Sus scrofa: one gene and its partners. The protein of the gene in region 1 purifies or fractionates together with the protein of each later gene. This does not show direct contact. Links are inferred from orthologs where the notes say so. Each region holds a gene or a part of one and is shown in the gene's direction. Other genes may lie near its edges. The genes, in order: SRRM1, EIF4A3, SRSF5, SRSF6, SRSF4, RBM25 and CDC5L.

The links.
Region 2: the proteins of SRRM1 (region 1) and EIF4A3 purify together in Homo sapiens (affinity purification with mass spectrometry; 3 studies listed by BioGRID and IntAct, with this or other methods). This does not show direct contact. The link is inferred for Sus scrofa from reciprocal best matches to the Homo sapiens genes SRRM1 and EIF4A3.
Region 3: the proteins of SRRM1 (region 1) and SRSF5 purify together in Homo sapiens (affinity purification with western blotting; 3 studies listed by BioGRID and IntAct, with this or other methods). This does not show direct contact. The link is inferred for Sus scrofa from reciprocal best matches to the Homo sapiens genes SRRM1 and SRSF5.
Region 4: the proteins of SRRM1 (region 1) and SRSF6 purify together in Homo sapiens (affinity purification with western blotting; 3 studies listed by BioGRID and IntAct, with this or other methods). This does not show direct contact. The link is inferred for Sus scrofa from reciprocal best matches to the Homo sapiens genes SRRM1 and SRSF6.
Region 5: the proteins of SRRM1 (region 1) and SRSF4 purify together in Homo sapiens (affinity purification with western blotting; 3 studies listed by BioGRID and IntAct, with this or other methods). This does not show direct contact. The link is inferred for Sus scrofa from reciprocal best matches to the Homo sapiens genes SRRM1 and SRSF4.
Region 6: the proteins of SRRM1 (region 1) and RBM25 fractionate together in Homo sapiens (co-fractionation; 3 studies listed by BioGRID, with this or other methods). This does not show direct contact. The link is inferred for Sus scrofa from reciprocal best matches to the Homo sapiens genes SRRM1 and RBM25.
Region 7: the proteins of SRRM1 (region 1) and CDC5L purify together in Homo sapiens (affinity purification with mass spectrometry; 4 studies listed by BioGRID and IntAct, with this or other methods). This does not show direct contact. The link is inferred for Sus scrofa from reciprocal best matches to the Homo sapiens genes SRRM1 and CDC5L.

The regions. Positions count from the first base shown.
Region 1 is NC_010448.4:82,340,192-82,343,691, forward strand, and holds part of SRRM1 (serine/arginine repetitive matrix protein 1), read left to right. Parts: intron 1-1,980; coding exon 1,981-2,190; intron 2,191-3,339; coding exon 3,340-3,444; 3' UTR 3,445-3,500. UniProt on the Homo sapiens protein: Part of pre- and post-splicing multiprotein mRNP complexes. As a component of the minor spliceosome, involved in the splicing of U12-type introns in pre-mRNAs. Involved in numerous pre-mRNA processing events.
Region 2 is NC_010454.4:2,284,227-2,288,478, forward strand, and holds the start of EIF4A3 (eukaryotic initiation factor 4A-III), read left to right. Parts: upstream 1-1,452; 5' UTR 1,453-1,468; coding exon 1,469-1,637; intron 1,638-4,076; coding exon 4,077-4,149; intron 4,150-4,252. UniProt on the Homo sapiens protein: ATP-dependent RNA helicase. Involved in pre-mRNA splicing as component of the spliceosome. Core component of the splicing-dependent multiprotein exon junction complex (EJC) deposited at splice junctions on mRNAs.
Region 3 is NC_010449.5:93,396,379-93,399,010, forward strand, and holds the end of SRSF5 (serine/arginine-rich splicing factor 5), read left to right. Parts: exon of another isoform or gene 1-560; coding exon 561-634; intron 635-1,105; coding exon 1,106-1,216; intron 1,217-1,311; coding exon 1,312-1,579; 3' UTR 1,580-2,132; downstream 2,133-2,632. UniProt on the Homo sapiens protein: Plays a role in constitutive splicing and can modulate the selection of alternative splice sites.
Region 4 is NC_010459.5:46,118,302-46,122,411, forward strand, and holds the start of SRSF6 (serine/arginine-rich splicing factor 6), read left to right. Parts: upstream 1-1,310; coding exon 1,311-1,417; intron 1,418-1,641; coding exon 1,642-1,790; intron 1,791-3,083; coding exon 3,084-3,208; intron 3,209-3,353; coding exon 3,354-3,562; intron 3,563-3,690; coding exon 3,691-3,774; intron 3,775-3,875; coding exon 3,876-4,110. UniProt on the Homo sapiens protein: Plays a role in constitutive splicing and modulates the selection of alternative splice sites. Plays a role in the alternative splicing of MAPT/Tau exon 10. Binds to alternative exons of TNC pre-mRNA and promotes the expression of alternatively spliced TNC.
Region 5 is NC_010448.4:86,089,970-86,094,030, reverse strand, and holds the start of SRSF4 (serine/arginine-rich splicing factor 4), read left to right. Parts: upstream 1-1,261; 5' UTR 1,262-1,427; coding exon of another isoform or gene 1,428-1,534; intron 1,535-4,061. UniProt on the Homo sapiens protein: Plays a role in alternative splice site selection during pre-mRNA splicing. Represses the splicing of MAPT/Tau exon 10.
Region 6 is NC_010449.5:96,451,650-96,455,149, forward strand, and holds part of RBM25 (RNA-binding protein 25), read left to right. Parts: intron 1-409; coding exon 410-632; intron 633-738; coding exon 739-828; intron 829-3,500. UniProt on the Homo sapiens protein: RNA-binding protein that acts as a regulator of alternative pre-mRNA splicing. Involved in apoptotic cell death through the regulation of the apoptotic factor BCL2L1 isoform expression.
Region 7 is NC_010449.5:39,390,897-39,394,396, forward strand, and holds part of CDC5L (cell division cycle 5-like protein), read left to right. Parts: intron 1-1,749; coding exon 1,750-1,849; intron 1,850-3,500.

The DNA.
Region 1 (3,500 bases):
AATGCCAGATCCTTAACCCACTGAGCCACGATGGACTTCAAAAGGAGGCACAAAATAAGTGGTAGTGGTTATTTCATAGTCCATGCTCAATACTCTAGACATCCATTAATTTGCAGTATGTCTAATCCTATTATATTAAATTCTATAATCTTGTTGGTCAAGATTGGACTATGTAGAAAATTTAGGAAAAAAACAGGGAAAAATATCCATGAATCTATTATGTTGGGAGAAAATAGCTTGGCATTTTTGCTGTTTTCTCTGGTGTTTGAAAGGTTTTAGGATAGTTATGATCAGGCAGTAAGTTTTGATCTTAGATCATGTCCATCAGTATGATTCCATTTTTATAAAGGACAGAGTTCCCACTGTGATGCAGTGAGATTGGCGGTGTCTCTGCAGCACCAGGACAAAGGTTCAATTCCTGGCCCAGCACAGTGGTTAAAAGATCTGGCATTGCCAGTTGTCACAACTGTGGCTCAGATGTGATCCTGGGAACTTAATATGTCGTGGGGCAGCCAAAAAAAAAAGAAGACCCTTTTTATAAAGGAAAGGTATGTCGCAAGAGGGATACCAACAGTGGTTACATGTTAGGAGAATGATGAGTGATTTTAATTTTTCTTCTTCACATTTTAAGGCTCTGATTTTTCCTAACATGGAAATAAATTATTTCTTTCATAAAAAGAATCTTGCAGCTTATGAAATACTAGCTGGAATGGGAAGTACTTTATTGTCCCATGTAAGTCTTTGGCAAGCTAAGTAAATAAGAATGACATGTTTGTTTCTACATTGTCATGTTTAAATATCATTGGGATATTAAAATATCAGCTTAAGTTGTTTTCCTTTCTTTGTGAGTCATTAATCATGGCAGGTTCCATGTATTGTGTAAAATCAATGGTTAGTTGTTCATCTTAATAGGGTTGAATTATTGTGCAAACTAACTGAAAGGGTTGAGGAATTTTAAGTAATTGCTTAGAAATGTGAGATTTAAAAATTACAGACCTGGGGTTCCTGTTGTGGCGCAGTGGAAACAAATCCGACTAGGAACCTTGAGGTTGCGGGTTCGATCCCTGGCCTCGCTCAGTAAGGATCTGGCATTGCTGTGAGCTGTGGTGTGGGTCGCAGGTGCAGCTCACATCCTGGGTTGCTTTGGCTGTGGTGTAGGCTGGTAGCTGTAGCCCCGATTGGATCCCTAGCCTGGGAACCTCCATATGCCGTGGGTGCAGCCCTAAAAAGCAAAAAAAAAAAAGATTAAAAAAAAAAAAGATAAAAATTACAGGCTAGGTTTAATTATAGCAGAGCCTACCCTTTGCATGAACTTGGAATACATATATAATGAAGAATAAACCACCTGCATTCTAGAGATAGATCAGATGGTGATTAGAGATGTGGCTTTCACACAACCTTGTATTTAGGATAATAGTTACTTATTAAAAGCCTACATGTTGTGCTGGTATTATGGGTAATTTAAATATATTCCTATTTAATTCTCATAACAGCTCTGTCAAGGATTATTATAGCTATTTTGGGTTGACAGGCCTCAGAACAAGTGAAGCAATTTATCTGAGGGCAAATAGTTTAATAGCTTCAGAAATCAGAATTTAACTGAGACCTTGTCGAGTTTTCTTCCTTCTGTTGTACATGGTGCTTTTACATCTGAGGTTAGACCCTGCCTCATGTCAGACTTGGGCTACCTTGTGGTTAGGAGACATGGTTTAATGTGAAGTAAGTTCAGGATATTTTTTTAAATATCATTTACTTTCAAGGTCCATTTCAACTCTTAGAAGTCTTTGATTTCAGCAATAGTTCCCGTCTTTAGGAATACTTTTCTTAGTGGAGGTTAGCCCTGGGCTGTCTTTCCCCGTGAAGCAGTATGAAATCCTGAGATTAGTCCAGTTGGTTATTCCCCTGAGGAAATGAAATGTTTAATTGGATGGAATTCTAATCATGTTGATGGTATTTCTTTTGTTTTTCTGGGATTTCTAGAATTCAGACCCAGAAGGAGGTGGAAAGAAAAAGAAAAAAAAGAAGGATAAGAAACATAAAAAGGATAAGAAGCACAAGAAGCATAAAAAACACAAGAAGGAAAAGGCTGTGGCTGCAGCCGCTGCAGCTGCTGTGACCCCTACAGCCATTGCTGCTCCCACAACCACATCAGCACAGGAAGAACCGGAGGCAGAGCCAGAGCCTAAGAAGGTGCTTATGGATACTGTCTTAATTTTATACAAATTGCTAAATTAATTCAGTTTGGAGAAGTAGCTCAGTAATTTTTTTCTGGTAATTGGATGTCCAGCTGTTCGGTTCTCTTCTGACTCATTTCTCCATGACCACCTGCCAAGAACTAGAATTTGCTAAGGCTTCAGATAAGAATAAAAATGGCAGGAGTTCCTATTGTGGTTCATTTAGCAAGTTAAGAACCTGACTCATATTCATGAAGATAAGGGTTTGATCCTTGGCCTCACTCATTGGGTTAAGGATCTGACCTTGCTGCAAGCTGTGATGTAGGTAACAGACATGGCCTGGATATGGTGTTGCTGTAGGCTGGCTGCTGCAGCTCCAGTTCGACCCCTAGCCTGGGAACTTCTATGTGCCACAGGCCTAAAGACACCCCCCTCCCCCACAAAAAGAATTTTGGTCTTTATCAGAGAAAAGTGAGTTTACAAACTAACGTCAAAAAATAAGATGTCAGGGAGTTCCTGTCATGGCTCAGTGGTTAATGAATCCGACTAGGAACCATGAGGTTGTGGGTTCGATCCCTGGCCTTGCTCAGTGGGTTAAGGATCCGGCGTTGCCGTGAGCTGTGGTGTGGGTTGCAGATGCGGCTCAGATCCCGCGTTGCTGTGGCTCTGGTGTAGGCCGGTGGCTACAGCTCCGATTCAATCCCTAGCCTGGGAACCTCCATATGCTTCGGGAGTGGCCCTAGAAAAGGCAAAAAGACCAAAAAAAAAAAAAAAAAAGTCAGATATTGATCTGTATCAACCATTGCTTGGTTGCTGATAGGCAGGTTATACCTGTTCTTTTTTGGGGGGCTGCGCCTGTGGCATATGGAAGTTCCTAGGCCAGGGATCACATCTGAGCCGCAGTTGCTACATATGCCACAGATATGGCCCTAGAAAGGGAGGGGGAAATACAAAAGGCCTTATGTATATTTCTAAAAAGAGCTTTGAGATAATTAAATATAAATACACCATATAATTCACCCATTTAAAGTATATAATTAAATGATTTCTTTTTAGTATATCCATAGAGTTGTGCAGCCATCGTGACAGTATTATTCTTCTCTGTACTCAGCATTTTCCACCAGTATCTCAAGGTTTGATGATACAACTTTTCTGTTTTTTTTAGGAGACTGAAAGTGAGGCCGAAGATAACCTTGATGACTTAGAAAAGCACCTGCGCGAAAAGGCCCTGAGATCAATGCGGAAGGCTCAAGTGTCCCCACAGTCCTAGGTGGAAATGTTTGTTATGATGTAAATTTTATTTGGTTTGTACGCAATTCAATTTCA
Region 2 (4,252 bases), on another chromosome or scaffold:
GTTGCTGTGAGCTGTGGTGTAGGTTGCAGAAGCTTGGATCCCAAATTGCTGTGGCTACTATAGGCAGGCAGCTGTAGTTCCGATTTGACCCCTAGCCTAGGAACTTCCATATGCTGCAGGTGTGGCCCTTTAAAGAAAAAAAAATTCAAGCTGCAGCTGTGACCAACTGTGGCAACCTGGGATACTTTAATCCACTGCACAGGCTGGGGACTGAACCCATGCCCTCCGCAGCAACTTACTCTGTGCCACAGCTGGAACTCTAAGGTTTGAGTAATACTGGCATTTTTTTTTTTCTTGCTTCTTAGGGTCACACATGCAGCATACGGAAAATCTCAGGCTAGAGGTCAAATTGGAGCTATAGCTGGCGGCCTACACCACAGCCACAGCTGTGCCAGCTCTGAGCCACATCTGCAACCTACACCACAGCTCACGGCAACGCCAGATCCTTAACTCACTGAGCAAGACCAGGGATCGAACCGTGTCCTCATGGATGCTAGTCAGGTTCTTAACCCACTGAGCCACAAGGGGAACTTCCCATACTAGCATCCTTATCAGGCACGTTTATCAGGTCAATTTTCTTGCAGAGTCTGGACATATTCTAAGGTCTGGGCCAGAGCTTCAGGAAAAGACCTCATTTACTTGTTTGCTGTCAACAAACTGCAAACCTCTGCACTCTTATGCCTGATTTTAATGGATAATATGATCACCCAGTTTTCACTGAATTAACCTTCACAACAGGAAAGCGTTTAAGCACTCCTGGAAAGAGGCTGTGAATTAAAGATATGCCCAGGATGGGAGCCAAGCAAACAATGAGAAAGGACGGAGCTGGCACTTGGGCAAGTACAAGTTTCACAAAGTTATCGCTGTTCTCACACAACACAGATGAACGTCCGTCAAGTGATGAAATCGGTTCAGAGGCCAGTTTTGCGGTACTTGATTTTAGAGGCACTTGAAGTTTTAGAGAAGCATGGCCCACGGGGCCATGTTTACACGGGATAATGAGCGCAGGCAGGGACCAGCACCCGGGTGCCTCCTCCCGGCAGGGGCGCCCTGGCGCACGCCGCAGCTCGTCTGCAGGAGTTCCAGTTCTACCCTGCCGCGCTGAGGAACCGGTAATGCGGCCAGGTAACCGGTAACCCTCCGCGCAACAGCCCAGCCCAGAGCCCAAGCCGAGGGACCCGGGCGAACCCCGGCGCCTACCTTACGCGGGTGCGGGGAGGGGCGGGGTGTGGCCAGGGGCGGGGCCCGCGGATCCCGCGGAACCCCTCCCCCTCGAGAGCTGCGGCACCGCCCCTTTCCCCTTTCACGTGACCAGGAGCTCCCCGCCCCTTCCGAGCGCGGCTCCGACGCACGCTCCTACGCAGGCACGCGCGCGCGATGCCGTCAGTTCCTGGCGGCGGCGACGGCGCGGCGCTCTACTTCCGCTTCCCGGTGCGGCGCGCAGTCGGTTCTCAGCCCGCTCGGCATCATGGCGGCCACGGCCACGATGGCGACCTCAGGCTCGGCGCGGAAGCGGCTGCTGAAAGAGGAAGACATGACCAAAGTGGAATTCGAGACCAGCGAGGAGGTGGACGTGACTCCCACGTTCGACACTATGGGCCTGCGGGAGGACCTGCTGCGCGGCATCTATGCCTACGGTCGGTGGGCGCGGGGCGCGGGCTGCGAGCGCCCGCCGGAGAGCATGGGCCCGGCCGAGGGCTGGGTCCCGAGACTGGGAGTGTGGCGGTCCTGAAGGTCGGGGATCCGGGTTGGGGCCGAGCCCGGGGTGGGTCACGGGTGACCCCTTCCCTCACCACGCGTATCCACCCCCATCTGTGCCGGCGGGTTCGGGTGTTGTCCTCCCGGCAGCGCGCCCTGCTGGGACCCAAGAGGGCTGCAGGGTCCTTTGGGCACTTGGGAGTCATTCATTCAGCGGATAACTGTCTTGTATCGGCCAGGTGCGCGGCTCTAGGTACTCGGGGCTTAGTAGGGAACCAGACAGGTTCGTGCCCTTAGTTAAGTTAGCTTAAGCCTTAGTTTAAGTTACATTTGGGAGGAGGACTGTATAATCGATGGTAATGGCTACGGAGAAAATTAAGCGGGATAATTGGTTCAAGCTGCGCGGAGGAGAGAGTTAAACTAGTAGAGCAAATAGGCAAGGTGGCTGCCAGTAGGGCCTGGCATTTGAACTGAGACTCAGCTAAGGAGCCCGTTATGAGAAGGTTATGTTAGAATTGGGCAGAGGGGGCAGCTGGTGCCAGGTCCTGCAGCCCGGAGCCGGGGACATTCCAGGAACAGAATCTCCTGTCCTCCCTGTGGGGAGGGAGGAGGGGGCCACATCTTGAAGAGTGAAGTCTGGGGTGATAAAGAGAGTGCATTTTATTTCTGAGTGCAGTGGGGGAGGCCATTGGAGGGTCTCATGCAAGGAAGCGACAGGACCATATTTAGTTAGAAGTGAATTGGGGTGTCTGATGTGGGTGGAGGTGAGGCGGGAGAGCAAGCAGGGAGATGCTAGGAGGCTTTTTGTTCCAGTCCGGGGGAGAGATGATGGTTTTCTGGTGGAGATGGATGTAAGCAGCAGAGGAAAATCCTAGGTGTGTGGCTGATGGGACCGGTGATGCTGCCCTCTGCTCAGGCAGGGAGTAATGGTGGGAGCACTTCTTGAATGAGGGGAGCTTGAGGGACCTGTGAGCCATCAGTTGTCCTAGCTGGGAGCCTCGGAAGAGGCGGGGTTGGGGCTACTCTCCGGAATGAGCAGCATCCGTGCTTAATGCCTGGGACTGGGGCATCTTTTTTATCCAGCAGTCCTTGAGTCAGGACAGTTTAGTGCAGAGAAGGTGCTGAGGGAACGGGAGGTGAACTATAGCAACTAAGCCTTGTAGTGAGGCTCACAGCCCACCTGCCTCTTGGGATCTAGGGCCTCCCTTCCCTGAAACACCTGCTGCGTCATCATGAGGGGTTTAAATCACATTAGATTGGCTTTTGTGTTAAGTGGGAAGTTTACTACATTTTAAAAGACTATGAGAATTATTTCATGTCCATTATTTGTACATGAAGTTTTGTTTACTCAGACAGTAGAGGGGTTGCAGTTCACGCAGCCGCATCCAGGGCAGGAGGGCATCCAGGGCGGGAGGCGTAGGTGACATTCGTTTTTAGATGATGTCACCTACCCAAAGACTTACTGCTGATAGGGAGTAGTGACTGACTGTGATGGGTTATTTAATTTAACAAGTGATGCCAAAACACCCCCAACAATGCAGGTTATTGTAATGAAGTCAAACAATGCAGTAGTAATGGAAGTAAGATGTGAGCTTCCCTCCCCCTGTTCTCCAGCAGTAACCACCTGTTAACTTTTTTTTTTTTTAAACCTAACTAGGGTCTCTGTTTGCAACAATGTTCCTCAGAGATTTTGTCTGTATAAATAAGATCATATGTTACTATAAAGAAAATCCACTGGAGTTCCCTTGCTCAGTGGTTAACAAACTCGACTAGTATCCATGAAATTGTGGGTTCAGTCCCTGGCCTGGCTCAGTGGATTAAGGATCCGGCGTTTCGGGAGCTGTGGTGGAGGTTGCAGACGTGGCTCAGATCCCAAGTTGCTGTGGCTGTGGCTCAGGCCAGCAGCCACAGCTCCCGTTCGACCCTTAGCCTGGGAACCTCCATATGCTGCAGGTGTGGCCCTAAAAAAAAAAATCCACAAAAGTCCACAAATCCTGCTTTGTTCAACAGCTGTTTTTTGAGAGCTCAGTATGTTGGACATTGCATCAGGAGGGTTTTTTTTTTTTTTAAAAAACATACCATCCTTGGAGTTCCTTCTGTGGTGCAACGGGATCAGTGGCATATCTGCAGCACCAGGATGTAGGTTCAGTCCCTGCCTGGCACAGTGGGTGAAAGTAACTGGTGTTGCCACAGCGGTGGTGTAGGTCACAGCTGTGGCTCAGATTTGATCACATACCCACGAACTCCATATGCCGAGGGGCAGCCGAAAGAGAAAGGAAGAAAGAGAGCCCATCCTTGCCCTCGAGGAGCCCCAGCGTCTGGTTGTAAGCATGCTGTCCTAGCGGTTAGAACTAATTGTTTTCTGCTCTAATTTACAGGTTTTGAAAAGCCTTCGGCAATCCAGCAGCGAGCTATTAAGCAGATCATCAAGGGGAGAGATGTCATTGCACAGTGAGTCTGCGGGAGCCGGGCCCGGGCCGGGCTGCTCAGCACAGCAGCGCCTTTGCGCTTCTCCTTCCGTCGCCGTGACCAGCCCTGGCCTTGCATTCAGCCA
Region 3 (2,632 bases), on another chromosome or scaffold:
CTGTGCGATTAAAGGCTTCCATCGATTGGGTAGTGTCCTTCAAGTGGGTGGCGAAGAGCCAGTCGGGCATATGTCATGAACGTTTCTCCGACCGCTTAATGGTTTGCTGCTTGACTAGCCTAGGGAAATAATAATAAAGGTAAAGTAAACTTTTTTAATGACATATGGGGCACAAAATAACTGGTGTCTTGTTAATGTTCTGTTTTTAAATATAAAATTTCTGCTTTAGTCTTTACTTTAAAAATATGTACTGTTTCTTTTTGTTTTGTTCTTTTTTGTTTTGTTTTGTTTTTTCCTTTTGTATTGAGCTCAGTATAGACTAATACTATTTTAATGTTAAAATCTGAATTCTCTGGCATTTTGCTTAAAAGCAATATGCTATTTGCTTATTTCGTGCCCTGACATATTATTTTTGAATTCTGATAGAATACAAGTGTGGTAAATACCATGTTTGTACTTTATCTAACATCTTCTCTTTCAGTAGTCTTGTTTTTATACCTTGTGGTTGTTTGTGTGTCACGATTCCTTTTCCTGGCTTAACAAAATTGTCTTATGTTAAGGATCTCAAAGATTTCATGAGACAAGCTGGGGAAGTAACATTTGCGGATGCACATAGACCTAAGTTAAATGAAGGGTGAGTATGCACTGGAGTATAAGAGCCTATTAAAATATCCTTAATAGGACAGTTTTCACTGTCAATGTTTGAGTGCTCAAAATTTGGACATGCTCGAATACAGCAGCAATTCTCAATTGGGATTGAGTTTGATCTTCGGGGTACATGTGGCAATGTCTGGAGACATTTTGGTTATCATAACCAATTGAAGGTCCTGCTGGTCCTGAAGGTCTTTTGGGTAGAATCACAGATGTTACTAAATAAATACAATGCACAGCAAAGCTTCCCACACCAAAGAATGATCTAGCTTAAAATGGTCAGTGGTTTGGTGGTTGGGAAATCACATTCTCATGCTGCGTTATCTGTCAAGGGTAAGACTCAGTGTAGCAGTAGCAGGATGAACATTGAAAAGATACTTAAACCAGATGGATTACATAGTTTATGAGACTGCAAGAAGTATATAACTTTATAAATGGCTTTTTTTTTTTGTAGGGTAGTTGAGTTTGCCTCTTATGGTGATTTAAAGAATGCTATTGAAAAACTTTCTGGAAAAGAAATAAATGGGAGAAAAATCAAATTAATTGAAGGCAGCAAAAGGCACAGGTACCTCTTTAATATTTTCAAGTCGGAGTTTAATGGATTTGTAGGGTCTGTTACTTAAGCTTTTTGGTTTTTCTTTAATTTTTTTTCCTTCCTAGTAGGTCACGAAGCAGGTCTCGTTCTCGGACCAGGAGTTCCTCAAGGTCTCGTAGCCGATCTCGTTCCCGGAGGAGCAAGTCTTACAGCCGGTCTAGGAGCCGGAGCCGGAGCCGGAGCAAGTCCCGTTCTGTTAGTAGGTCTCCTGTGCCTGAGAAGAGCCAGAAACGTGGTTCTTCAAGTAGATCTAAGTCTCCAGCATCTGTAGATCGCCAGAGGTCCAGGTCCCGGTCCCGGTCAAGGTCCAGATCAGTTGACAGTGGCAATTAAACTGTAAATAACTTGCCCTGGGGGCCTTTTTTTTTTATAAAACAAAAACAAAAAACAAATTCCCAAACCATACTTGCTAAAAACTCTGGTAAGTATGTGCTTTTCTGTGGGGGTGGGATTTGGAGGGGGGTTGGGTTGGGCTGGGCTGGGCTGGCTATCTTTGTAGATGTGGACCACCAAGGGGTTGTTGAAAACTTAATTGTATTAAATGTCTTTTGATAAGCCTTCTGCTCACATTTTTGTGAATGTCTGAAGTATATATAGTTTGTGTATATTCACAGAGCTCTTTTATAACTAAAGCAAATTTAATTTTTTTGTACTAGAAAAAATTTGAACGTTTTAGTTCCTGGTTATTCAAATATGTTAAGATTTAGTTTAAAGACTAATTAATAGCTTTGGACACTTAAAAGAGCTCTAAATTTGCTTGTACATAAAGGCTTAATTTGAGTTTTCCTTGTTAGGGTCAAGGGTGTCCATCCACCCTTTAACAGCTGCCTAGCAAAGTCGTTAAAGGCAGCTGTTTGTTATTGATAATAAAAGATTCTAAAAATTGTTTTTGTCTGTTTGTCTAAAGGAAGTAAAGTGGCTACCCACTCCTTCCCCATGCACATTTGACACTAGAGAATCCCTTGCTGCAGTAGGTGATGTGTGTTTTTTTTTTTTTTTTTAATTCAAATAGTACCTTTGATGTTTCCAAGGTAGTGAAGAGATGGGCGAAGAAGTGTGTGCTATTTAAAACAATGACGACTAACCGTCTATGACAGTTTCCCTTGTGTGTTTTACCTCCTTTTATCACCTGACTTTATTGGCCTGAGATTACTTAGGCTCTCAGCTAAAAGGATGATTTGGGGAGCAATTGTAAGTTAACATGTATCTTAAAGGTTGTAATATAATTTTGATGGTCAGAAAACATCACATGAATTTTTTTTTAAATCATTGCCCTTGAATGCACTAAGGGGCTGTCCCATGTTTGTCTTTTAGTCCTGAGACAAACATGTGACAGTCTGTGTTAAAAACAGTTTAGTAATGAAAACTGCTAGAGGTTCTCCATCT
Region 4 (4,110 bases), on another chromosome or scaffold:
CTCCCCCCGTCGTCACAACTGTCAGACCCCCTGACTTTGCCAAATGTCCCCCGGGGGGCAAAACTGCCACCTTCCAACTAGAAGCTGTAGAGTGCAAGGCTGCCTTGCTCCCGAAGCGCTGGAATATACAGAAATACGTACACAGCCAGTATTATCGCGGCAACGCCCTTTCCCCTCAGCTAGTGTGACACAACGCCCTCGGGCTCTTTTCTCCACCTCTCCAGGCACTCCTTCCCCTTACTTAAGTTCCAAGACGACGCCAGGGTCTTCTGCTCTCCACTTAAACTTTACTCCTGGTTTTCATCTAATTCGCCAGCTTTAACTGGCAACTCTAGTGGTAAACTCCAAAATGTGCGTGTTTTTGCGGTATAGATAATGGGAAGGGATCGCGTTGGGACTACGGCCTCTCCACACGGGGGAGAAAATGAGCGTACCTCTGTGGGAAGGTTGCCAGGTCTTGCTCAACTTTCTGGGCCGGAGGCCTTGGCCCGCCTCCCTTTTCCAGCACCCGCAGCGAGCCGGGGGGGTTGCCATGCACACCTCAATCTACAGGTGACTCCAGGTGACGGTGCTCCAAGAAAGACCCCCTGGAAGGACAGGTGGCCGTAAAAGGAGGCGGTGAAGTGGGACCACGAGGGATAGAAGCCAGCAGTACCGTGCGCTCCCGACCGCGTCACCACGACCTCAGAGCGCTAACTTCGGATTCTGTGGAAATAGGCAGCTAACCGTGTGGAGAACGCCTTCTACACTAGGCAGAGCGCAAGCTGAGCGATCCATAGGGGAAATTTGCAGCCTCGTTCCCAAAACCAATCAGAGACCAGGGAGGCCTATAGTGACAACCTCGATAACCAATGAAAAGAGGGATTTTCCTAGCCGGCCTCCCAAGCGCGAGTCCCGGAGAGAACTCACAGAGGAAGTTTTTTTTAAGGTACAGATTAGAAAACAAGTCCTTGACTGGACGACGGGATACGACGTCTACAAAGATGTGTGGAGAAAGTTCGGTGAGCGAATAGAACCGCACTTCCCTGAAACTTGGAGCGCGGAGGTCCCGCAAGTCACTCTCGCGCTCCGCGCTTCAGCGCGGGAGGGTACGTGCTGCGCGTTGACGTCACGCGCCGGGCCCCGCCCCTGGCCGCTCGCCCTTATAGCGTAGCCCAGGCGCGCGCGCACCATTGTGTGGCTGGACTCGGCCGCCACTGCGGTGTGAGGCGCGTGTCCGGGCTTTTGCCGTCCCCGCACCCGCACCGCGGCTTCTGCCTTGCGGTTCGTCGTTCGACAGCCAGCCCTCGGGCCCCTCGCCCGCCACGGACATGCCGCGCGTCTACATAGGACGCCTGAGCTACAACGTCCGGGAGAAGGACATCCAGCGCTTTTTCAGCGGCTATGGCCGCCTTCTCGAAATTGACCTTAAAAATGGGTGAGTCGGAGGCTGGGCGCCCGCGTCCGCCCGCAGCGCCGCGGGCCTACGGCGGCAGGGCCCATCGGAGGGAGGAGACGGCCAAGGCCGCGGTGCCGCGTGGCAGGGCCGCCAAGATGGCGGCCGCGCGGGGCCGCGGGAGCGCGCGAGGAGCGGGAGCAGCGCGCGTGCGCGCCCCCGGCCTAACGACGTCCGCCGGTCTCCGGCCCTCGCGCCGCCCTCAGGTACGGCTTCGTGGAGTTCGAGGACTCCCGCGACGCCGACGACGCCGTTTACGAGCTGAACGGCAAGGAGCTCTGCGGCGAGCGCGTGATCGTGGAGCACGCCCGGGGCCCGCGCCGCGATCGCGACGGCTACAGCTACGGAAGCCGCAGTGAGTCCCACCCCCGCGCGCTCCGTGTCCTTGGGACCCCGGGGGCGGGTGCAGGCTTAGGGGGGCGGGGTGGGGCCTCCCAGCCGGGCAGGCGCGTTGGCCCGGGTCGCTTGACTCGGGTGTCCCCGGGGCCCGCTGCCTTCACGCCTGCCCGGGAAAGCCACGGGACGCCGGAGCGCGGGGATTGGGTGGTGGGTTTTGCCTAGCGGGAGTTTGTGTGTTTGGGGGCGGGAGTTGCTTAGTCGGGAGGGGGTAACGTGTGCTGGGCCCCTGTCAGCACTGTCGTGGGCTCTGCCTACGGAGGAAGCGAGGGTTGGCTGTACTTGTATCTCCCTCGCTTACCTGTCAGTGCATTAGGTAGAAATGTGAATGATTTAGCATGGAGGTTTGGGGACAGGCTGGGGTGGAGGTGGGGTTGGGGGCGGGGGAAGGGGTGGAGTTTGAAGCTTAGGACTTAAAGTTATTAAAATTGGCAGGGGCCAAAGAAAATGTTATTTTGACGTAATGTGGTATTGTACCACAAAGTAGATCTAAATGAGCTTTATGCTATATTTGAACTAGTTGGGGCATGTTATGGGGAGGAGGTGGGGGGATTTTGGTTATGTTAAATGTTTGATGTTGAAATTGTTGCATGTTGAATTCAAACTTTTTAACAAGTCCTTGATGTTTCAATTTGAAAGTGACCAATGGGGCTGAGGCTGTGTCCACTGAGGCTAAGATGACTGCCTTTCCTGATTGGCCTTGGCTTTTCCATACATTGTGTGACCCTTGCCCTATGACCCTTTGGCTGACCTTACCGGAAGCCATGACGACAGCAGCCTTTTGCCATTAGACGCAGGGTGATGGTGAGGATTCCGAGGGTTAGACAAAACTGGTTAATCTGAACTAGGTGACTGTTACCTTGCGTGTTTTGTGGCCAAACCACCACCAAAAACCTCACACTGTGATGTAAGTACTTAGTGTAACTAGTAAACATTTTTGTAAAATGTAGAAATGCATGTAATCAGTTAAGTTTTATATTTTACAATGTTCTGTAAAATAAAACTTAGCGAGGTAAATTGAATAAAGGAGCAGTCACTCTCTAACAGATTGTAGGAGAAGTTTAGTTGGATTTAGTCTATTTGACTTGCCCTTAATTTAATTTATGGCAAATCACAACTGTATCGAAGGTTTAGCAATATAATAGCAAAGTCCTACTCCAGTAAATAAAAGTTAATATGTTTGTACTAACTTTCAAAAACTATGCATCCCTATCATTACAAAACACCTAATTGTTCTCTTCATGTGATAAAGGTGGTGGAGGTGGATACAGCAGTCGGAGAACCTCTGGCAGAGACAAATACGGACCACCTGTACGCACAGAATTCAGGCTTATTGTAGAAAATCTTTCTAGTCGTTGCAGTTGGCAGGATTTAAAGGTAAGTGCTATAACTTAAAGGTGGTATGACTAATGTTTAGAAGGTAGGCTTTTGTATTGCTCTTTCATTTCTGAGAATCAAATATAGCACATAGATCTTTTTTCCTTTAGATTTCTGAGTCTGACCGGTCTTACTGCTCTTTTAGGATTTCATGAGGCAAGCAGGTGAAGTAACCTATGCGGATGCTCACAAAGAACGCACAAACGAAGGCGTCATTGAGTTTCGCTCCTACTCTGACATGAAGCGTGCTTTAGATAAGCTGGATGGTACAGAAATCAATGGGAGAAATATCAGACTCATTGAAGATAAACCGCGAACAAGCCATAGGCGGTCTTACTCTGGAAGCAGATCAAGGTAACTTGTTGAAGGGTATGGAGGGGGGGAATATTAGTTTCTTTTGGTACACCGTATTGGAAGTTGTACAAATATTCATGTCGAGATGTCTTGGGATGAAGATTTATCCTATTTCCTGTTACATGTAGGTCACGATCTAGAAGAAGGTCACGAAGTAGGAGTCGTAGGAGTAGCCGCAGTAGATCTCGAAGTATCTCGAAAAGTCGCTCCCGGTAAATGTGTCCTTGAGTGTTTTTCTGAATAACATACTTTGTTTCATAGAGCACTTGGGTGTCCTGGCGAGATATTGAGCAATCTGGCTTTTCTTGTCTAGATCCAGGTCTCGGAGCAAAGGTCGATCACGTTCCCGTTCAAAGGGCAGAAAATCTAGATCAAAAAGCAAGTCTAAGGCCAAGTCTGATCGGGGATCCCGTTCACGCTCTCGAAGCAGATCAAAGGATGAGTATGAGAAATCTCGAAGCAGGTCTCGTTCTCGATCTCGTTCCCCCAAAGAAAATGGAAAAGGTGATGTAAAGTCAAAATCTAGATCAAGGAGCCAGTCTCGTTCC
Region 5 (4,061 bases), about 3.7 Mb from region 1:
TTGATGTTTGATAATGTGATGATGAGATGGAGAAACAGATACTTATGGAAAATCGAGCAAATCTATCAAAACTGCCCTCCCACACCCTTTGATCCAACTATCTTATCTCTAGGAATAGATCCTACATATATATATGTATACAAAACTACTCACTGAAGCAGTTATAACCAAAGGTTTGAATCTATTTCAATGTCCTTTCCTAGGCACTGATTACACAAATCAGTGTATAAAATGGCATATTATAAACCATAAAAATAATCCTGAGGAAGCTCCTTTTGTACTCTTACAGAATGAGTTTCAAATTATATTAAATGCAGAACCATACGTGTGGTACACCACAAGTTGCTTTACATGTGTAAAATACCTCAAAGAACATTTACGAAATTGATTATATTGTGTGGGCCTCTCAGGGAGTGGAGGGTGGGGAACTAGGCTGCCAGAGGACAGAGATGGGAAGACTTTTCACTGTATATCATTTGAACCAGTTAATGAATTACCTTTCAAAATATAATTTCTGAAGTAAATAAAAACAGCAAAGAAACAAAACTCCTTTGTGATTCTAGATAAACTGGGTAGGAGAGAAGGGAACCAATATTTACTGAGCTCCTACCACGTCCCAGATACTGAAGCCCTTCCACATACTCTCTTAGTTACCCTGGTAGTCCACTGAGATGGGATAAATTATTCTAATTTTACAAGTCAGAAAATAGATTAAATTGGTAATTTAATAATTTAGCCAGTGACAAGCCTAATCTAGCTCCAAAGTTCTAGTCTCTACTTTGCACACTGCTTCCACTGAAGCAAACTGTCCTATTTTTAAAATAATATTGCTATTATTTATTGGGCACTTACGAGGTGCTAGGAACAACTCTGGAAGGCTGGAATTACTAATCCCCCTTTTACAGAGAAGACGAAGCCGAAAGGCGCGTAATGAGCTCAAGGTCACAGACAATTAGAAGCCAGGTTTAATTCCAAATCTGCTCTAGAGTCGATACAGCTCCGGGTTCAAGGGACAAAAGCAGCAATGCTCTCAGGGCTGGAAGGAGGGGGACGTGGACACTTCCGGGGGAGGGGCGAAGCCCGCGGGCTGCGCCAAGCGGCGCAGGCCCCTCGCGCCAAGCTCGCGAGAGGATGTACCCCCGCGCCGCCTGTCGATCACCTGGTCCCGCCCTGCGCCGGCGCGCCTCCGGACAGGCCCCGCCTCCACCTCCGGCAGGGCGGGAAGAAGGCGCGTTCCCCCCCCCGTTACTCTCCGCGGGCGGGCGGGGGAGGCGCGTGCTCGCGAGCTGCGTGCTCGCGTACGTCGCCGGGTTCGGCTGCGTCCGTCCCGCCGCCCGCCCGTTGCCGCCGCCGTCGCCGCGCTCTCGCTTCGCCGGCCGCCGCCTAAGGGGCTGGGGCCGGGCCAAGCCGCCGCCGCAGTTGCCGGGATGCCGCGGGTGTACATCGGCCGCCTGAGCTATCAGGCCCGGGAGCGCGATGTGGAGCGCTTCTTTAAGGGCTACGGGAAGATCCTAGAGGTGGATCTGAAGAACGGGTGAGGAGGGCGGAGGAGGGGCTGGCTGGGTGGGGATGGGACCCTGGCGGTGGCGGGGAGGCCTCGGTGACGGGAGAGGGACGCCTACCCCGCGCAGAGCGCCTACCGGCCTGCTCCCGCTCCGCCATAGTCGCGGCGCCTCGGGGGCGCGGGTAGGCCCCGGTTCCCACTGCGCCTGCGCGGGTGGGGGTGGTGGAGGGATAATGGGAGCGATGGTGAGGCTCTGAGTGGGACGGGGAAAAGGAAAACCCGAGTGGGATTGGGACTCCGGGCGGGAGGGCACAGCTCCAGGACAGCTGGGGAGGCCTGGCTTTTTCCTTCCCAGGGCCTGGTCGATCTCCGGTAGAGACAGACCTTTCCCGCTCTAAGGGCTGCTGGAAATAAACAGATTTCCTGCTCCCTTTTCATTTCTTACCCAGTTTAATGGATCAGATGATCACAGCGCATTTCTCCCAGGGACGGGAGCTCTGAAGGGACACCCTTTTTAGACTTGCCCTGTGCTACACTTTTTTGAGCGGGAGACTCTGGTTTGAGTAGTCTAGTGACAGTTTCGAAAGTATCGGCGTGTGTGGTGCCGAAAGCCTTCACCGTTCCCTCTACAAGGATAAATTAGAGTCTTAGCATGCTATCTTTAAGACTGCGTACGAAGTTTCCATGCTGTGGTTTCCGTTCTCTAACTTGGCAAAAAAATTGCTTTGTCTTTGTAGAATTTGTTAGAGAATAATGGCCCCGGTAACTAGTTAACTAGTTGATGTAAACGGAGACTTACAGCTTGAAACTGCTAACTTGCTACCTATCCGGGTGTGTTCTGTTGCTTGTATTCCTAATTGACTTTGGTAGAGCAGGGCCCACAGGGGCTACAAGTTTCTGGGAAAACAGATTAGGAGTCAGGCCTGGAGAAGATAATCAACAAGGGGAAACTGTGAGAACCAGAAAATGTTAGCGGGTATACAAAGGCATGGATATACAAAAATAAAAGGAGTAAGGGGGACATTTTAGTGTACTAAACCTTGGGTGTTAAGAGGAACTCTGGCTTTTTTTTTTTTTTTTTTTTTAAGACCTGCTTTGCAACAAGTTTGTTATGGGTACAGTTTACTCCCAATGTAATGCTAGCAACTAACATTTGAGAAGTTAAGAAAAATACCTGAGTTGCACATTTGAAAAAAACTGGAAGCTACAGTATACTCAAACTGTTGCCTAGGTTTAAAAAGTTATTTCAAATTAATTGTTAGGCAGAATCACCTTCTTGCTAAGGAAAGTGTCATCAAGTGTTTATTATGAATACTGATTTCTTTTAGAGTAGAAGTCTTCGGAAATTACTTGTTTTGTACGGAAATTACTTGTTTCAGTTCTTATACTAGATAAAGTGGGCCGGAGGTTGTTATTGTGATATGTATCATATATCTGAATGATCGAGAATGGAGTTTAAACTTACAGATTTTCTTTAGAGCCCAATTAAGTTGTCGGGATAATTAAATTTGGTAAGGAAAGCTTAGGTTTTGAAATCAGGCAGGCCTGGGTCAAATCTTAGCTTCACCACTTACTATCTGTGGGCCAGTTATTTCTCTGATTCTGAGTTTCCTCATCCACAAGGAAAAGGAAGATTAGAGGTAATAATTGTAAAGCATTTGGCTCATTGCTGTAAATGGTAGCTATAATCAAAGGGATTTGACCATGATCATAAGGAGACACATCTTAGCTTGTTGAGTGTTTAATAGTGTGAAGCATATTTGGTGAAGTCTGTTTTCTAAGGTTCCTCAGGTAATGATTGAAGTCTGTTTTCTAAGGTTACTTAGGAAATGATTGTTGATGTTAATGGGAAAAGTAATTAATGGATCATCTGTGTTGCTAACGAATGTGCCTGCTATTGTGCTAAATGAATTGGGGAGGAGGCAGAAAAACAGTTCTGCTCTTGTGTAAATTAAGTGCTTATAACACACACTTTAAATTAAGAAATTCTTGCCCTCAGTGTAAACTCAGTAAGTGGAACTTAGAATAGTTTGTTTGAAAAGATTTGTTTGAAATGGGCTTTGAAGTACAGTTTGACTGGGGCTTGAAGCGAAGTGTCTGGGAATAGTGTATGTCATAACTGGTGATGGTCGAATAAGGAACAATTTTGAGAAACAATAAAACAGTCCAGCTTGGATTGAGTCTCATGAATGACCTAGAAGCTGAACAACATAAATCAGAAGTAACTTTTAAGATTTTACACTAAACATTCAAAATTATGGATAGGAGTTCAGATGCTCTGGAGGGAGTAATTGAGCAACCTGAGAAATGGTGATGTAAGAGGAAGGACCAATCCTTCCAGGACCCTGAATACGTGGGTCTCTTGGGGAAGTGATTCATTTTTACAGTTCTGCTGCTAAACCATGATATGCATGAAATCTGTGATTGAAAGTCAAGAGAATAAGGAATGGGAAGGCATTTTAGGGATTTGAAGGCAGGTGTGACAGTCACCAAAACAGGTGCACCTCCTAGCAGCATTCAGACATTATTGAAGAGGAAGATGACTTTTGAACAAGGG
Region 6 (3,500 bases), on another chromosome or scaffold:
ACCTGCACAGTTCAAACCTCTGTTGTTCAAGGGTTAGCTGTAGTTCTAGTTTATCCATGCAACAAGCCGAAAGGCTTTTTGCTTTAAACCTATGCAATATCTTTATTCCTTGATCACTATTAATGAAGCAGACTATCTTGCAACATGTTATCCAGGTTTTTTGTGTTTTTCTCAGACACTGATAAGCATTGAGGGAAAAAACTTTGAGTTTAGAATGCAGTTCAGAATGTGGAGATAGAATTAAATTCTCTGTCTTTCTGACTTCTACTATACTTCTACAGAAAACAAATGCTAAATTCTGGCTTGTGAGTTTGTATATTATTTCATAATATGTGTTCTCCTTTCTCTTGGTTTTTAAAGAAAGCGCAAAGGAGACTAATAGATTTTTTAAAATCTTTTGTTTATGTAGAGAAAAGAGCAGAGATCGTGAAAGGGAACGGGAGAGGGAAAGAGAGAGAGAGAGAGAACGGGAACGAGAAAGAGAACGAGAACGAGAGAGAGAGCGAGAAAGGGAACGAGAGCGTGAGAGAGAAAAAGACAAGAAGCGTGACCGAGAAGAGGATGAAGAAGATGCATATGAACGAAGGAAACTTGAAAGAAAGCTCCGGGAAAAAGAAGCTGCTTATCAGGAGGTAAACAGAGGGACTGTTTATATTCTCAAAGCTTGGTACTTAATAGGTTAGTCAAAAAGAATTTTTTTGTAGACATCTTTAAAGCTTTGACAATTTCCTTTTTTAGCGCCTTAAGAATTGGGAAATCAGAGAACGAAAGAAAACCCGGGAGTATGAGAAAGAGGCTGAAAGAGAGGAAGAAAGAAGAAGAGAAATGGTAATATTCTAGGTTAAAAAGTAAATGATTTTTCAGATATAAAAATCAGATCAATCTTTATGGTTAACTAGAAGTAACTTTATAATTTAAAGGTATGATCTCTCAGTATAGATAATTTAATTTTTATAAATTTCAAGTAAACTTGAGGGAATTTCAGTACAGCGAAATGTTTTTCTCTCCTTTTTTTTTCTTCACATTTTTGCTGCCTATAAGCTAAATTATCTTTTGGCATACTGTTAAAGTAAATCAGTCATAGAGTAGTATTTAAAATGAGAACTTACAGAACATTCTTTGATTAAGAATCTACAATATTTTTGACTTTGAAGAGGCTTTGATATCATTCTGTATTGGTGCAGTACATTTGGGTGAAGGAAAGTGTCATGAGAAGACCTTAGTTTTTAGAAGTCAAAATTGTCTTCAGTGTGTAACATTTATGAATTATTATTTTTCCTTACATTACTATGTTATCCTTCCTTTTAACTATATGATAATAAAAATGTATTTTTTTTGCATTTACACTATTTGACAAACTGTACAGTGAAGCAGTTGGCATAGGTTGTTAACTAAATAAAATGACGAAAAGATGATATATTTTATCACAGTATTTGCTTCAGTAGTATGTTCCATGTGTTCTATCTTTGCCAGAATTTCATGAAAGTTTCTTTATCTCCAGTTTGGAGATTATTCTTCCAAAAACTTCACTGAAGTTAGGAATCTTCTTCAAATAGCTTTTGAACATGAGACATAGAGGGAATTTTTGTAAGTAACCAAAAGGGTGCATGCAGCAACTAGATAGATAGTATGGGTTTTCTGGATAGTAGATCTTCAGAGCTCCTAGAGTTTTTTAAAGTAATTTTGATTTCCCTAGATTGTTGCTCCCATTCTAGAATTTCTTATTAAAACCTAGGAAATAGAGAATTATCTAGTAAGAGACATAATTATTTGAAGAAATATTTCCCATCAAAAACATGTGTTAATAGATTTGAAGTTATTCTGCATCCTACAAGCAAACCTGAAACCTACCTTTCCAGAAAAAAACATTCCTGATAGTTACTTTTTGTTCAGGAGCTTTAAAAAAAAATCCATTTAAAAAAGCAGTTACTTGCTCATTAAAAAATATTCAGGTAACTGAAGTATATGGTGTAAAAAGTAAAAGTCTCTATTTCTCATGAGTGGTAGCTTATGTCACTATTTTAGTGTGTTCCTTGTAGGCCTCCCTGTGTTTTATTTAGATATTTCTAGGTATTGTCATTGCTATCTGACAGTCTATTTGCGTTTGAAAAATTTTGAATGTACCTTATATCCTAGCCTTGTGCTAGGTACTGGGTATACAAGAAGAAATAATGCTTCAAACTTAAACAAGTGGGTAATATCATCAGAGAGATAAAGTAGTTACTGTATTGTGTGTGTGAGTGTTTAAAGTATGACGAAGGTGTGTTCACAGTATTTTGGGAGTGGAATACAGGGAAAGTGATTAATTTTGTCTGGGGGAAGGACTTGGTCAAAAGTAGGTGGTTAGATTGGAAAGTCTTTACAGAGAAGTAACATTTAATCTGGATGAAATGTGTTAATATTTCACTGTCAGATGAAGTCAGAAACCTACGTATTTGTATGTAGGTGTAATAGTTGTTAACAGAGATGTAGATTATAAATTTTTACTAATTGTTTTTTGTGTATATATATATATATATTATTGTATTTAAAATTCCAAAAATAGGAGTAAGAGATTCATGTACTTGCATGGTTTGTGTACTCAAAGCTAGGTAGGCATTACCTTTAGATGCATAAATGTGATTTAAATTTTAAATCCTGAAGTTCCCATTGTGGCTCAGCCTTAACGAACTCAACTAGTATCCATTAGGATGCAGGTTCAATCTCTGGTCCTGTGTTGCTGTGGCTGTGGTGTAGTCTGGCAGCTGCAGCTTGGATTCGACCCCAGCCCAGGGACTGCCATGTGCCACAGGTGTGGCCTTAAAAAGAAAAAAAAAATAATTTTAATCTTATATTTCATGAAAACTACTTCTTGTACCATCATCTACCTGTAAGTGAACTGTAAAATATTTTGGTCCAGTTAACAGATTGAGTTGTGATTCTTGGTGTGCTCAGGTTTCCTTAGAAAATAATTATTGCACTTTGAAAATCATATTCAGAGAGGAAATTTATTGTAGCATACTGTATGTGGCTTTCATTTCACAGATAAGTCCTAAATCTGACTTGCTTCTGGTTTTTTGTTTTGTTTTCTTATTTTGTCTTTTGAGGGCCACACCCAAGACATAGGGAAGTTTCTAGACTAGGGGTCAGTCGGAGCTGCAGCTGTCAGCCTACACCACAGCCACAGCAACACCAGATCCAAGCTGAGTCTTCGACTTACACTACAACTCATGGCAATGCCAGATCCTTCAACCCACTGAGCGAGGCCAGGGATAGAACCCAAATCCTCCTGGATGCTAGTTGGGTTTGTTACCACTGAGCCACAACGGGAACTTCCTGACTTGCTTTTGAAGGTTAAAGATTTTTAAACATCTAATGTTTATTTACATGTAAATGTATAAAGTTTATGAGTATTATAAAGTTCAAGTGGTATGGATAAGAAGAATCTATTCCCATGAAAGAGAGGGGGGTGTAGTGTAAATTGCTTTTATATTAATTTTGCACGTTTTGTCCTTCATTTC
Region 7 (3,500 bases), on another chromosome or scaffold:
CGCAGTGAGTTAAGAATCTGGTGTCGGAGTTCCTGTCGTGGCTCAGTGGTTAACGAATCCAACTAGGAACCATGAGGTTGCGGGTTCCATCCCTGGCCTCTCTCAGAGGGTCAAGGATCCGGCGTTGCCGTGAGCTGTGGTGTAGATCGCAGACACCGTTTGGATCTGGTGTTGCTGGGGCTCTGGCACAGGCTGGCAGCCTACAACTCCCATTAGACCCCTAGCTTGGGAACCTCCATATGCCGTGGGTGCAGCCCTAGAAAAAACAAAAAACAAAACAAAAAAAAGAATCTGATGTCACTATAGCAGCTCAGGTCGCTGCTGTGGCACGGGTTCGATCCCCGGCTGGGGAACTGCCACATGCTGTGGGTGTGGCCAAAAAAAAAAGAGTCAGAGGAACTATAATCTAGTTAGTGCGGTGTGTGCCGCTTATTAGCTGTTTGACTTTTAGGCAAGTCATGTAATCTTGCTGAACTTTGATTCTCATTCCTGTCAGATGGAGAGTAATAATCTATCTTACTTCACAGGGCTATTGTGAAGCATTCAGTGAATATTTGTTGAGTTTTTAATTTAAAAGTTTGAAGGTAGTGGTTCCCAAAGGCAGATTGTAGTTAGGCTGGTTGCGTCATTGTCACAGGATAAACTTTAAAAAATAGAGGTGGCAGGGCCTCCTCAGGAGATCTGAATCAGTAACTTGGGAAGAAGCGAGGATAATCCTGAAATCTGAGGGTTTTTTTTTTTTAAGATTCCCTTGTGATTTCAATTGATACCCTTATATAGAAATTACCCTAAGGTATCAGTAATGAAATATATTATTCTTTGGGGACCCATGGAAAAATGTAGTGGAGGAAAACAATAGTCTTGAGGGAGAAAAATGAAGGAAAAATGATAATGAAGATTATCAATTCCTTTATAATTAAATAGTAGTTTTTCCAGGTTTTTTTTTTTTTTTTTTTTTTTTTTTTTTTTTTTTGTCTTTTTGCCATTTTTTGGGCCGCTCCCGGGGCAGCTAGGGGTCGAATCGCAGCTGTAGGCTGCCAGCCTATGCCAGAGCCCCAGCAGTGCAGGATCCAAGCCGTGTCTGCGACCTACACCACAGCTCATGGCAACGCCGGATCGTTAACCCACTGAGCAAGGGCAGGGATCGAACCCGCAACCTCATGGTTCCTAGTCAGATTCATTAACCACTGTGCCGCCATGGGAACTCCAGTTTTTCACAATTCGTTTTGTGCCAGGTAGTTGGTGATAATGAAGGATATGATAATTACGGCCACTATAATGACTTCTTGCTTGATGAATACCTGTTTCATTTTACTTATTTTTTCTCAACGTCCTGATGAAGTAGGCATTTGTTATTTATTTATTTATTTATGAAGTAGGCTTTTTTTTTTTTTTTCCCACTGTACAGCAAGGGGGTCAGGTTATCTTTACATGTATACATTGCAATTACAGTTTTTCCCCCACTCTTTCTTCTGTTGCAACAGAAGTAGGCATTTTTTATTCTCATCTTGTAAATGGTGAAACATGCTCAGGGAGGGTAAATACATTATCTAGGGTCACATAACTAGCACGTGGTGGGCCTGGTTTTTAACTTAGGTTTCTCTGACTTCAAAACCCAAACTGTTTCCTTTATGCTATACCTTATAAGGATTATATTTATGATTTTTCTCATCTTAAGCCCTAGGTTCTGTCTCTTGCATACTTTGCTTCTGTTGGAGAAGTTAGTTTTTCTTCTCTTTATTTTTGCAGATGAACTCGAGATGCTTTCTGAAGCTAGAGCCCGCCTGGCTAATACTCAGGGAAAGAAAGCCAAGAGGAAAGCACGAGAGAAACAGTTGGAAGAGGCAAGGTATGGTTGCTTCCATCCATAGTTGAACAATTAGGCTGTGTATCCTTAGGCTCAGTAAAATTGCATGATTTATCAACCTCATTAGGTGAGTGATAAGTAGAATTGTTCACTTCCAGTTTTCTAATAGTCTTTAGTGTCTTTGTTACTTTGGAAGCCTTAAATATTTTCTCCTAACCATTTCAGAATAGTTATAGAAACAATATGTATTTTAAAAAAGTTTTGTAAAATGTGGCAGAAGCAGTGCCCAGATACAGACATGCATTTATGTGCAGGTGTACACGCGCGTGCATGGGCACTCTCTCTCTCTCAGTGTGTTTAATTAATTTTGTTAGCATAAAATAGCTTCATTTGTTCTAGCCTCTTGGCCTCAGATGCCTAGAGGACACACAGGGCTCTGGGACTTTGGCGCGACTGCCAGGGAGTTACTCTCCTTGATTAGTGTTGGACAGGCACTGACACCAGCTGTGAAACAGGAAACTCGGCTGAACACAGAGGGAGTTAATGAGCCCTGAACTGGATTTTAGGCTGTCATAGAAATTTCTATTTAAAAAATGAGTGGAGTTACATTTTGCCCTCGACTCAAGGTTGTCTCCATTTTCCCCTTCCTTTTGATTAGATCTATGATTGACATTATGCCTAATGGCCTAGAAACCAAGGTGAAGTGGATAAAGAGAAAACCTGAACTTTCTAAGAGCTTATTAGCTTTGGAATTCAGGCAGGAATAACCTTCAACTCCAGAATTTCTATTTGGTTCTTTTTAATCATTTCTATCTTTCACCGATTTTCTCTTTTTAATGAATGTTTTCAACCTACCTTCCTTCTTTAATCATGGCTTCCTTTTATTCTTTGAACATACTTCTGCCCCTTTGAAGTCTTGTCTGTTAAATCTGACATCTGGTTGCTCTCAGGTGTTGCCTCCTTGTTTTCTGGTGTGTGGGTCATACTTTCCTGCTGTTTCTTTGCATGTCTTACCTTTTTTTTTTGGGAACTGGATGCTTTGGATGCTCCATCGTAGGAATTCTGTGTACGTGTCCCCCGCATCCCCTCTTGGTTAGTGTTATTTCTAGTTTACTTGTTTTGCGACCAGCAGGGTTATTTTAGTGAAGTCTGTCCTCCCCTTCCCTCCTCCCACAATGGGAATCCTCTGATCTTGCTCCTTGTGGGGATGGTCTTGGGTGTGACCAGTCACTTGGGATGATGTGGTTTTGATAGGACTTTCTTTGACATCTTTCCCCTTGGCTATGCACAGCTGTTAAACTCTGCTAATTGTCAGCTTATTGCTGTATTGTTTTCAACAATATCTTGGGGCATAAGTTGCTCCACAAAGTGATCCCTTCATTGGCTCCTTTGAAGGGATTGTTTCTGAGGTGAAGGTTTGATATTTGTTCTGACCCCGGAAGGGCTTCCCCCACTTTTCAAAAGAGAAAGAGTCTCTCTGGCAAACTAGTGGGTCTGCAGTTTAGCCAGTATCACCAGTGAATGAATCTATCAGTTTCTTCCCAACTGCCTTTCACCATAGCTTCCACTGTTTTTTTTTTTTTTTTTGTCTCCCCATGGCATGTGGAGTTCCCTGCCGGGGTTCAGATCCAAGCCACAGTTGAGACTTACAGTGCAGCTGAGGCAGTGCCACATCCTTAACCCACTATGCTGG